2 linked regions of the Arabidopsis thaliana genome follow. The protein of the gene in region 2 interacts with the protein of the main gene of each other region in a pairwise test. Each region holds a gene or a part of one and is shown on either strand. Other genes may lie near its edges. The genes, in order: SQN and CR88.

Evidence for each region.
Region 1: the proteins of CR88 (region 2) and SQN interact in a two-hybrid assay, tested with the Arabidopsis thaliana proteins (one study listed by BioGRID).

What each region holds. Positions count from the first base shown.
Region 1 is NC_003071.7:6,877,237-6,883,130, forward strand, and holds SQN (peptidyl-prolyl cis-trans isomerase / cyclophilin-40 (CYP40) / rotamase), read right to left. Parts: upstream 3,663-5,894; 5' UTR 3,508-3,662; coding exon 3,337-3,507; intron 2,949-3,336; coding exon 2,448-2,948; intron 2,349-2,447; coding exon 2,261-2,348; intron 2,151-2,260; coding exon 2,098-2,150; intron 1,538-2,097; coding exon 1,433-1,537; intron 1,312-1,432; coding exon 1,236-1,311; intron 1,094-1,235; coding exon 1,056-1,093; intron 962-1,055; coding exon 908-961; 3' UTR 877-907; intron 779-876; 3' UTR 538-778; downstream 1-537. UniProt on the Arabidopsis thaliana protein: PPIases accelerate the folding of proteins. It catalyzes the cis-trans isomerization of proline imidic peptide bonds in oligopeptides.
Region 2 is NC_003071.7:1,280,001-1,286,849, reverse strand, and holds CR88 (Chaperone protein htpG family protein), read right to left. Parts: upstream 5,097-6,849; 5' UTR 4,868-5,096; coding exon 4,616-4,867; intron 4,508-4,615; coding exon 4,434-4,507; intron 4,349-4,433; coding exon 4,223-4,348; intron 4,133-4,222; coding exon 4,039-4,132; intron 3,949-4,038; coding exon 3,865-3,948; intron 3,778-3,864; coding exon 3,634-3,777; intron 3,552-3,633; coding exon 3,435-3,551; intron 3,353-3,434; coding exon 3,317-3,352; intron 3,204-3,316; coding exon 3,123-3,203; intron 3,046-3,122; coding exon 2,941-3,045; intron 2,846-2,940; coding exon 2,705-2,845; intron 2,614-2,704; coding exon 2,521-2,613; intron 2,432-2,520; coding exon 2,354-2,431; intron 2,276-2,353; coding exon 2,021-2,275; intron 1,939-2,020; coding exon 1,836-1,938; intron 1,755-1,835; coding exon 1,580-1,754; intron 1,485-1,579; coding exon 1,379-1,484; intron 1,299-1,378; coding exon 1,209-1,298; intron 1,130-1,208; coding exon 941-1,129; 3' UTR 706-940; and 1 more. UniProt on the Arabidopsis thaliana protein: Molecular chaperone required for chloroplast biogenesis. Essential for chloroplast biogenesis and maintenance, and thus for embryogenesis. May be involved in the disassembly of VIPP1 for thylakoid membrane formation and/or maintenance.

The sequences.
Region 1 (5,894 bases), 5.6 Mb from region 2:
CGCGGCGGTGGTTGTCAGAATGGTGGAGGTCCTCCGAGACGGTCGCTGTAATTTGTGATTGTCGTTGGTCTACACTTATTAGTATAAAACTGTTTCAGTTCTACCTGCTCTATTAAGTTAAAGATTGATTTTTAGCAAAACACACATATTAAGAAAACAATATAAATATATTATTTTATTATTTTATAGTTTTCTATAACTCTAAACCAATGATAATTAACTATTTTTCTTGGAAATTACAGTTCACAATACTAACCAATTAATATCACATGAAAAACTTTAAAAATCAATCTTTTAGAAACAATTCTTTTTCTAGAAAATCAATCATTTAGAAACAGAAGAAAGTATTGTTTTCGCAAAAAAAAATAATCGTATTTGATTTTATTTCATAAGGAGGGAAATAGAAACAGTTCCCAATGGATTTTTTGTAAGCATATATGCATGCTGCGGAAACCAAAATTCCCTAGCATTGTAGTGCCCACTTGCTGATTCAAGCAAACGTGAAAAAAATCGTGGAAGAAAGCAAAGAACTCAGAGTGGCCAAGTAACTCAAAATTTCATTAACAGTCTCAAGCACTGAATCTATCCTTTGGGTAAAAACAATTTCCCAGTCGATATTACTATGCATCAGTCTTTGCCATGATGCAAAAGTAAAAACATGTTTACCAAAATGAGGGAAATAGAAACAATTCCCAAAGTCCTTTTTTGAATGTTTTTTCTTTCTTTATATGCTTCTTTTCACTTTTTGTTAGTCTTCTTCCTCACTATCCGACCAAACCTACATAGACAACATCAAAAACCCTGAGAGTTAAATTAGTTGACATAAAGCTTACACTAGGTCAGTTTTCTGAGATTAACAACAAATCTTAGGCTTACCCTAAATGAAGCAGAGCACCCCCCCCCCCCCCTATACGAACATTTTGCGGTACTGCTTTTTCTCTTCGTTGTCTCTAAAGGCAATCTGCAACACATGGTTATTAACGTCAGCTCTAAGATTTTATACTAGAAGTAAAGTAACTGCAAAAAGAACTTGTGTTCTTTATCCGCATACCGACCTTTTTCATAACAGCAGCATATTCTTTCTTGATACCAGCTGAAAAATCAACTCACAGAAATAAATGCTAGTTAGATTTCTCTCGTAATATATTTAAGTGTGTTGTACTATGTTCATACATTGATAATGATGAACCAAACTTGTCAAACCACAACTAATAGAAGCTTGATGAATCACTCACCGTCATTAGGTTCGAATTGAAGAGCTTTCTCAAGGCTTTCAGCAGCAGCATCGACGTTATTAAGAGCCATGTATGCCTAACATTATAAACAAACGCAGATAAGAAATAGACACCATCTTCCTCTCATGAGAAATCTAGAATTTTCGTTATTGTGGTCTAGGTTCTAGAAAACTGTCAAACAATAAGTTTTTAAGTACCTGGCCTTGTCGAAACAATGCTTTAACATTGTTATCTTCATCACGCATAGCAAATTCAGTGTCCAACAACGCTCCTTTTGCATCTCCGAATTTGAGTTTGCAGGCCTGCCACAACAGCCAGTTACAATACAATGAGATAACATAGTAAAAAAAAATCGGTTATACAGGCACAACAAAGCAATTAAGTTGGACAAGTGAAAACACTGGCAACGTAAACAGAGATGCAAACAATAATTCATATGAGCAATGTATGTCCCACAAGCATAATCTCAGAGAATATTATCCTGCTTATGTCAAGGTCAACCTACCCTACTTTTTCCCAAGAAATTAATCAAACAGCAGAAACCAACATAAATGACAGGTCTGCAGTGTAGAGCACTTCAAATTAATTTTTAGTTCACAATCAATTGCTTATCATTCTATCGACGGTACAGCTCATCCGTAAGAATTAAGCAGATTCAACAAAAAAAATTGTAATGTTAAAAACCCAACAGAGTAAGAAATTTAAGTTCTTTTGGAAAAATCAACGACTCCAAAGACAATCAATCTTCAGATGGTACGTAAAGCACACACACATATAAGGTAGATATGTTCAACTTACAAGAAAAGATATCAACAAGGATGTATGTAGCTTTAAAAAAGGTGTAAAAGCATGATGAACTTACAGCACTATTAGTGAAGATCTGCGACTTTGTCTTACGCAAGGCAGTACTCGTCTCTACAAGATCCCAAGTAGAGAGTGAGTGGGAACATTGGTATGGATAGTATAAATATTTTTTGAGATGAAGTAAGTGGAAACATATATAGAGAGAAAAACTGATAAACCACCTTCATCAATGCCCTCTTTCTCCCAGCAAATATCCAGATAGCGTAAAGCCTTACGGTACTTTCTAAGAGCCATCTTATAGTCTTGTTTCTGAGAGTAAATCAAGGTCAAAAACAGATCAGACTCACAGAAATGAAAATATGGAACAGACAAACGTATATATTCAATTTAAAACAATGGAAAAAGCACCTTAAAGTGCTCATTCCCATGAGCCTTGACAAAATCAACAGTCTCCATCCACCAAGATAACTCAGCTGGGCTTTCATTCAGATCAATAGGCCAGTCAGGGTACACATCACCATCCTTGAAAAAGTCACAAATCCCATCATCTGCACCCTCAGGGATTTCTCCACAGTCATGGATCACAACATCCTGAGAAGGACAAGACTGTTCCTCTATGCTAACATGCTCAATCGACCGAACAACACCCATTCCTTTCGTAACCCTTCCAAACACAACATGTTTCCCATCTAAATGAGAAGTGCGAGTTGTCGTAATGAAAAACTGAGAGCCATTAGTGTTGGGACCAGAGTTAGCCATAGAGAGCATCCCTTTCCTCTCATGTTTCAGCTCAAAATTCTCATCGTCAAACTTCAAGCCATAGATAGACTCACCACCAGTACCATCATTAGCTGATATATCCCCACCTTGTATCATAAACCCCTTGATAACACGATGAAATCGATTCCCCTGTAAACAAATACACCAAATACCATAAGTACATCATCCTATAGTACAATTTCAACCTAAAGTTTTGATCTTTACCTCACCACTACAAACTACAGTAACCTAATTGCAATACTGAAACAAAGTCAGAAGCTATTCAGCAATACGAGCAAAAACCCATTAAACCTCAAATCATAAGCATTCAGAACCATTCTATAGTACAATTGCATCCTAAAGTTTTGATCTTTCTTTCACAACTAATTGCAAATTTAACCAAGTTTTGATCTTTATAAACCCCAATGACGAATGACCCATTAAACCACAAACCCTAAATCACAGAAACAACAAATACCCATTTCTACATTTCATACATAAGAGAGTATAAACAAAGATATAGAGAGAAAGAGAGAACCTTGTAATGGAGAGGTACACCAGTATTTGGACCTAAACCCTTCTCACCGGTACAGAGTAATCGAAAATTCTCAGCGGTTTTGGGAACAACATCATCGTAAAGCTCAATAACAATCCTTCCTTCAAGCTCACCTCCAATGCTAATGTCCATGAAACACTTTGACCTACCCATCTTCTTCTTCTTCTTCTTCCTCTTGCTTTCTTGAAACCGAAACAAAGACGAGACAGAGAGAGAGAGAGAGAGAGAGAGAGAGAGAGAGAGAGAGAGAGAGAGAGAGAGAGAGAGAGAGAGAGAGAGAGAGAGAAAGAATCAGAGGAAGAGACAAAGAACAATGGTGTGAATCTCTGTCTCAGTAGCTTCCGTCTCTAAAAGACTGTAGACGGGGACTTGTCTCTTATTAAACGCAGAAATCAAAACGACAGATAGAAGAAAACCCTAGGACCCACTTTCTTCCTCCAACAAATTTTGTCTCTTTTTATTTATTTTTAACTTTTAATTAATTTATTTATTACTTGCTGCCAAAATTAAAAAATAAGAAATTTATTACTCGTCCCTTCGGGTACATTCCATAAGAGTGGATAGTAGGTGATTGCCCACTATGGCCACTACACAATAAATATTTGGTTTTATTATTTCTTTTTCTTAAAAATTATTTAATTTTTTTGCAAAATATTATTCTTTTTTTTTAGGGAAAAAATCTAAAAAAAACCCAACTATTTTTTATTTAAAACTTTAATACCCAATTGTTTTTGATTGGAACCTAAAGTTCCAAAATATTAAATTTTGTTCAAGAAAAACACTATTTAATTGTTCGTGGTTAAATCATTCATGCGCGTTAACAGACGTTAATTTGGCTGACGGAATCACTAAACCGGGGTTAATGGTTAACAATCCGCGGTTTAATTGACTAACTAAAAGACTACAGTACCCTCATTTGTTTTCCCCCAAATCGATTTGGGATTGAGAAACCCTAACTCCCCAAATTTCTAATTTCTCTCCAAAAAACTTAGAAATTGAAAGAGGCGATGATTCGAAGCGTTTGATCGGGTATATCTGCGTTCGATCCAGTTGGTAAACAGTCGAAAAGATGAGGTATGTCGATTTGTGTGTTGTGGGTCTGTCGATTTGAATTTTTAGGGTTCTTAAGTTTGAAATTTTCTGGGTTTGTTTGAAATTGGGTTAGGGGTTATGAATCAGTTAGGTTATAGTTTGTTTACCACTACTAATCGGTTAATTTCTATTTTCCAGTGATTTCGAGTGTTTGAAACTCAACATAAACTATAGAGGCGATGTATCCTTCACGGACCAAGGGTTCGATTACTCTGGAGGGGTCGAGGCGAAAGACATGGTGATGGATCCTGATCTGATGACATGGTCTATATTCGACGATTCTTGCAAAGAAAATGGAGTCAATGGTGAAGTCGAATCGATTTGGTACAAGCTTCCAGAAGAGGAAATCTATTCAGCAAGAGTTATCGGTGCCGACAAAGATGGTGGGATAAGGGAGTTATGTCGTGAGGCGATGATTGGTGGGGAAGTTGACATATACATCGTCAATGCCGTCTCTGTACCTGCAGCTTTTCCGCTTCCAAATGATGTTGTAGAAGACGAGGAACTTGGAGTTGAGGATGATGATGCCGAAGATATCATAGACGAGGAGCCTGCAGCAGAAACTAATGAGTGCCCTGAAAGAGTACAAGCTAATGGAGAAGATCCAGTAGAAGAAAGAAGGCACGATGATCCTCGGTTTGAGGCTTTCTTTGACGAAATTCACAATGGTACAGAAGCTGCAGATGATGTTGTTGATGATGCTGCAGCTGAAGACATTAACACAGTACCAGAAGAAACCGTTGCTGAAGAGGTTGAAGATGAAGATGAATTTGAGAGACAGTGTTATGATGTAGAGCGTCCGGATCATGCAATGGACACAGATGATGAATGGGATGCGTATGACCAAGCAGAAAGATCATCATCTCGACAGAAGTTTTCGAAGGATAAACCTCCATACATTTGGATGTTGCAGACTTTCAATAGTGGTTAAGAGGTTAAGGATCAACTCTTGCGGTATGTATTGAAGATGAATTATGATGTGAAGTTGTGTAGATGGGGTGCAAATAAGTTGGCAGCAATCTGCAGCCATGAAAATTGTGAGTGGAAGATATACTGCTCCACTCATAAGCGTTCAGGTATATGGAGAGTATAAACTTATGTTGATAAGCATCACCATGCTAAGAGTGGGAAAGCAAAAATGCTGAAACAGGGAGTCATCGCTAGGATGTTCAGAGATGAAGCAAGAAGGCGGCCTTTTTTGAGATGGACTGACATCAAAGATGAGATTATGATGAGGTACACACTCTCTGTGTCTAAGTGGATATGCCAAAAAGCAAGAAGAATGGCTTTAGACATGGTGGTAGAAACTCAGAAAGTTCAGTTTGGAAAGCTATGGGATTATGAGGCAGAACTTCAAAGGTCTAATAAGGATATCCACACTGATATTGTGACCATCCCAAGAGAGTGTGGTAAGCAACAGTTTGACAAGTTTTATGTATGTTTTAAAG
Region 2 (6,849 bases):
CTCGTGTTACGTCCAAATTAGTATTGTAATTATAAATTTAGATATGTCCAAGGTCATTAACAATTCCATTTTACTCATTCTCTATCAAATAAATACAAATTCTAACCCATTATTGCAGGTCGGTATTTGATTTAAATTTTGACCAAGAAATTTTCCATCAAATGATTGATTTGGAAATCATTTTGATTTGGAAAGTTTTAATGGACCGTTAAGATTATTAGTTTAAATAATATCCGGAAAATGTGTGATTGTACCATATTTTGATATATCGAATATTGATTTTTAAATATAATTTATTCCATATGCATAATTATGAATTATTGTAAATTCTAATCCGCTCCACTAATTAATTCGCGAGCTCTTAATATTGTTTGCCAACATAATATTTTTAATAAAAAATATGTAAAATTAATAACTATATTTTTGGTTTATTTTAGATTGATTTTTTATATTTAGTTTTTTTAAATCTTTGAAAAAACAATAAATAGGTGATAAGTATTGAATATAGTGTGTTTAAGAAATATTATTTAAATTTGAAATATAGTGTATTTAAGGAATATAGAGTGATGACCAAATTACCATAGACGATTTTGATTAATAATGTACAAAATCCAAAATTGAAAATTGATGGCAGATTAGACTATTTTTCAATTTGTATTTTCTTTTTAATAATAAGAGGATGTAAATTCAGAATATTTAATACAACTCAAATGCAAATATTTTTCAAATATTCGTAAATATTTTTGTTAAAAGCTTTTTTTGTGTAAATTCTCTAAAATTATTTTAATTATCAAAAAAAAACTACAAATACTGTATTGGATAAATCTCGTTCACGCGTGATTTAATTATGGGCTTTCATTAGGCCCATGATACTGCTAATGGAAAGATAAAGCGTTCTGTCAAAAAAAAATCACTGCAAACAAAAGAAGGTAAAAAAGGATCAATCTTGCCAAGGATCACTCTCTGCCCTCACTTCAGATGGTTCAACTACCTCTGTTTCTCCGCTTTTGTCATCTCCTTCATTCACAGTCGAGCTTTCTTCTTCTTCTTCAACTCTGCCCCATCTTCCTCCAACCGCCATTGCCATCATCTCATATATCTTGTTCCCGAGCTCGGCCGGGCTATCAGGCTGTACAACAAACACATATAAGTGAGTAAAATGGTCCAAGACTTTTACTGGGAAACAAGAAAGGTTTCAGATTTCTTACAGTGAATCCACTTGATATTATAGCAGTGTCATACAAGAGATCGACCACTCTTGTTGCTTCAGTGCTCTCTGGTGCATTCTTACAAGCAGCCTGTACCAAAAGAATACAAAAATTAATAAGGCTTTTTCGAGACAAGAGATTTCTGAGAGAATATTATACCACACACTTACGTTCAAGTCTTTGATGATGGGATGATCTGGATTGATCTCTAGTATTCTCCTACCTCTCATGAACTCCAGGCTTGAAGTGTCTCCAAGAGCCTGTGCCTTCATTAGCCTTTCACAATGAATAAGCACATAAGTCAATGAACAAGCACATAAGTTTTATGGTATGTGGATTTCAGGTTATAAAGCTTTTGCTGAAGTACTAACCTTTCCATATTAGCTGACCACCCGAATTTGCCAGAGACAAGCACACAAGGAGAAGAGCTCAAACGGTTTGAGACTTGGACTTTTGCAACTTTGTCACCGAGCTGCTGTTTTATCCAGTCACAGAGAAGGTTAAACTCTTGTTTCGCTTCCCTGTCCTTTACTTCATCTTCATCTCCTGCGAGAATGGACACGTTTTGTTACAAACAAATGGTTGAGAGAAATGTGCGGGCAGTCAGCAGTGCTAAACCATACTTACCGAGTTCCAAATCTTCTTTACTGATATCAACGAATTTCTTTTCTTTGTAGGTTTGCAAATTCTGAATAGCAACTTCATCGATTGGTTCAACCAAATATAGAACCTATAATTAACAAAAGCAAGTGGTGAGAAAGTCAAATCTAAACAGAAACTCGAAGTTGAAAAACAAGTCTTGAAGCATATACCTCGATATCTTTTTGGATTAGTTTCTCCAAGAAAGGGGCAGACTTGGCACTTTTAAGACTATCAGTTGCGAGGTAGTAGATCGCCTTTTGGTTCTCTCCCATGTTCTCGATATAATCATCCAAGCTTGTCAATTCCTCTTCATTCTTGGAACTGAAGAATCTAAGTAGCGGTGTGATACGCTTGTGGTTACCGGTGTCTTCAATACAACCCAATTTAAGGAATCTACCAAAGTTCTCCCAGAATTTCTTGTAATCCTAGAATTGTTTGTACAACATGAATATCCCTGGCTTTCAAATGAGCTCAAAACAAAATTAGGATAATGAGATACCTACCTCTTTGTTTTCACTCTCAGAGATTTCTTGTATCATGTCAAAGGTTTTTCTAATGAGCCTCTTTCTCATGATTCTTACCTGAACATTATCACGAAAGATAGTACAGTTACAATTTGTGATATTCATATATGATAAACATTTGTATCACTAACAGTTGCACCACTCACAATTCTGCTTTCTTGGAGAATTTCACGAGAAACATTAAGAGGAAGATCATCAGAGTCCACAACTCCCTTCACAAAGCTCAGATATCTCGGGAACTGCAAACAGATTAGGTAACATAGTCAGATAAAAATTGAACCACAAATCTAAAGAGATTTCTACATAAGAAAGAACCCATAAAAGACTCACAAGCTCTCCATCAAAATCGTCAGAGATAAACACACGCTTCACGTAGAGACGAATGTTCTTTGTTTTCGGGTTTGTAACATCTTCATTGTTAAGAGGACCCATCCCAGGGATGTACAAAATGCTCCTGAACTCAACCTCACCCTTTAATAATCAAGACAATACAGAGACTAGTAAGCACCAATTGAAGAATTCATAAATTGACATAAATATAGTGTATAGTGTATAAGTATAAAGACCTCAGTTGTGAAGTGTGTGTGAGCAAGTGGATCCAAGAACTCATTGAAAGCCTTTTTGTAGAACTCATTGTACTCTCCTTTTTCCACTTCCTTCGAATTGCGCATCTATTCAAAGACACAAAATAATCAGTAAACATGTTGAAAGAAAAGTACAAAACGCAGGCTAAAGCTCCAAGGCTTACCCATAGCGGTTTGGTCTCGTTGGCTAGTTCCCAATCCCAATACTTCTCAGTTTTAGTGGTCTTCTTTTTCTTTGGCTCACCCTGGAAACAAACAAGTAACAAAATCAACTCAGTAAACAAAATTCTAGAACAGTCTTTTGGTTGTGACTGTTTGATAGTTGATACACACAATTAAAACAACATAATTTTTTTACCTCTTCTCCTTCCTTAACTGGTTCGTCCTCTTCGACCTACCACAAGTTACAAATTTTAAACCATATTAGCAATGTGAATACACTAATATGATTACAAAAACAAAACTTTCATCCTCACCTCTATAGTCCTTGATTTCTCCTGCCATGTATAGATAGGAAACCCAACGAACTGAGAGTAATTCTTCACGAGGTTCTTGATCCTTGTAGACTCCGCAAATTCGTATTTATCATCCTCCTGCAGCCAGGAATAAGCAGTCAAACAAACTATAAGAGATCTGACGCATCAAATGAAAGGATGAATGAATAAAGAAAAGTACCCTCAGATACAAGGTGATTTGTGTTCCACGACGTAGAATGTTATCAGGGTCTGTTTCTTCTCTGATCAGATACGAGCTACTATCGGCAACCGATTCCCAAACATATTGCTTGTCAGATTTGGGGCTTTTGGTGGACACAACAACCTGAAAGCAAAGACAATTGTACGTCCATTCCTCGTAAGAAATACATTAACCAGAAGACACTAAAAAACAAAAGTTGAAAGTCTTCACCTTCTCAGCAACTAAGAAAGCAGAGTAAAACCCAACACCAAACTGTCCGATCAAACCGTTGTCAGCACCAAGGTCCTTGTTTTCCTGAATAAAGAGAGCAATAAAACAATGAGTCCGAAAACATGACATCAAAGATTTGCTAGCAACAGGTTTTCAAAGAGATGGAAAAAAAACCTTTAGAGCCTTCAAGAATTTCGAAGTACCACTTTGAGCAATAGTTCCAAGGCAATCAATAAGTTCTTCCTTTGTCATTCCAATACCAGTATCACTGCATATACGCATCAAACCTCTCTAAGTAAACCTGTTCTATTCAATTTTCAATACTTAAGTAAAACAAAAAATGAGAAGTCTCTCATACGTTATGGTGATGGTGCCGTTATCAGGATCAGGCTTAATCCTAATCTCAAGATCTCCACCATCTCCAAGCAAAGAAGGCTCTGTTACACTCAAGAACCTCAGCTTATCCAAAGCATCACTTGCATTACTGAACATACACAGACACATTCAAAATCAGATTTTGACAGAAACACACAAATCATTTCCAAAACAATCCATCAAAATTGACTCACCTTACAAGCTCCCTGAGAAACACCTCCTTGTGACTGTATAAGCTATGAACAATCAAATCCAACAATCTACTAACCTGTGATAAGATTTCAACAATCAAATCTTAAAACTTTATATCCCCATCAAGTTGAGAGATACCCAGAAAACAAGATTGAAACTTTAGGAGATATGAAAGAGAACCCACCTCAGCTTGGTACTCAAACTTCTCACCTGACCCTTCTTCAGTGGTCTCTTTCTCCGCCACGGCGGCGTCACACTTCACGGCGAATCGGTTACATCTCTTTTCGAGATTCCAGCTACACGAAACGCCGGTTCTTAAAGCGCCGCCGTGTGGGAGAAACGAGCTTCTCAGATGAGAGAGACGAGAAGAGACAGGAGTGATTGGAACTGAAGTCAAAGGAGATGTGTAGAGACTTCTACTCAAAGCAGGAGCCATTAGATTTGAAAGTTGTGAAGGAAAAGATTTGAGATTTTTTTACAATCTCTCAATCTCTAAAGAGAAAAGAGTTTGTAGTAGTTGAACAAAGAGTAACCTAAAAACCCTATTAAAGGTTTAAGGAGAGTGAGGTAAGAGAGGTTTCTAGAAGAAGAGCGTATAAAGAGAAGAGATGTTTAGAGATTGTGAGGTCTACGAGAAGCCATTTCATCAAAACCGTAGGATTATCCGTTTGATTTACACGCGCCTCTCCTTGAGAAATTGTAGCTGACACACACACACACACCAAATGCAAACCAAATTGAAAAAACACCTTATTGGGCCTACACGTTAACCCATAATGGGCCTATAGCCCGTATAAAGTAAAACGAAAGGTTATGGCTGGAAAATGTTTCGTATCAAATTGGCCCATATCAAGAAAGAGATCTTGAATATTTGTTTTTTTTTTTTTTTTTCGTAAATTATATATATGAAAGTTGGCCAACTCTCTTCATATGATAGACACATCATCACTTTAGCATTTGACATGTGTTTATTAAATAATTAATGTAATCTCTTCAATTTCAAATCTATAGTTTAATGATATATTTATATTTAATTTTACATATTATTTTATTATACATATTTAATTGTACTTTTACTAAATTTATTTTAATATCACATGATTTTTTAATAAAATCATTTTAATAGTTTTCTCATACTCGAAGATTTTTATGGTAATCCAAACTCAAAGTATGAGTATATTACTTAATAATTTAACTAAGTTATTCTCTTAAATTGATGTTTATATTCTCTTAAATTGATGTTTATATTCTCTTAAATTGATATTTATATAATAAATAACTGAGGGTGAAGAATATGTAAGGAGCTCCATCATTAAATTCTTAGGTTTATAGAATCCAACACTACCCTCTGTTAAATTGGTTTAAGATAAACATTGTTTAGAAATTATGTGTATGATGCATTGTTGAGAATGTGGTTAGAAAAAAATATTTTAATACTAAATGTAATTGCTTATTGCATGAGTAAATGATAAGATAAATAAAAATTATATTTAAATTAAACAATACAAAAACATCCGAAAAAACCGTGGTGTAGCGCGGATGATCACCTAATATTTCATAAAAATGAAAACATGATAGGTTTACAATCGATGATTTTCAACCTAAGCTAATGGTTCCATGGCAAAAAAAATAAAAACATGGAAGCATAAAAATAACCACATACATAGTGACATATACCAAGATAAAATGATATTAAAATTTTATTGATTTAGAAATTATGAGAAGGTGTGCACTAAATAAAATACAACAATGTTGATGCTAACGAAGATACACGATTGCTAATTATTGGAAATATCGAAACCATACGTTATAGACTCCATACCCATAACTAAATTAACCAAAACATATATAGTTACCAACTTCTCACTGTCCTCTACTTATTTTGCAACTTTTCCTTTTTTTATTACGACTATAATACAGTATGTGGGTATTGGGTATAACCTAAAAACAAAATATTTGCAATTTGGTCAAAAATTTGCAATTTCTTTTAAGAATAATAAAATGATGCAAATGATGTTTATTTGTCCTATTTTTGGATCCAAGGCAGGTATTTATGAATGGTCTACTGAACAAAAGTAATATCTGATGGAGAGCGGAAGCTAAATAACGGACGAAAACACAAAATCTCTATGAGAACTCGGATTAACGAACGGATTTTGTTTAGAACGCCGAAACTTGATGAAGAAGCAATAGAGATAAGGTCGAGATCGATAACGATATCGATGAGGTTTTGCAAATCCTCCTTGCAGGGCTTGAACACAAGCTTTTAGGGTTGAGAGTCCTCCTCTCTAGGCTTTAGACAAGCTCTCTTAAAACTCGTTTATTCAATAATCAAAAACTAATTACAATAATGAATTACATCTCTTAAAATAAGAGAAAAAGAATGGAAACCCTAGCCTAAAGAATAAGCAAACTAAT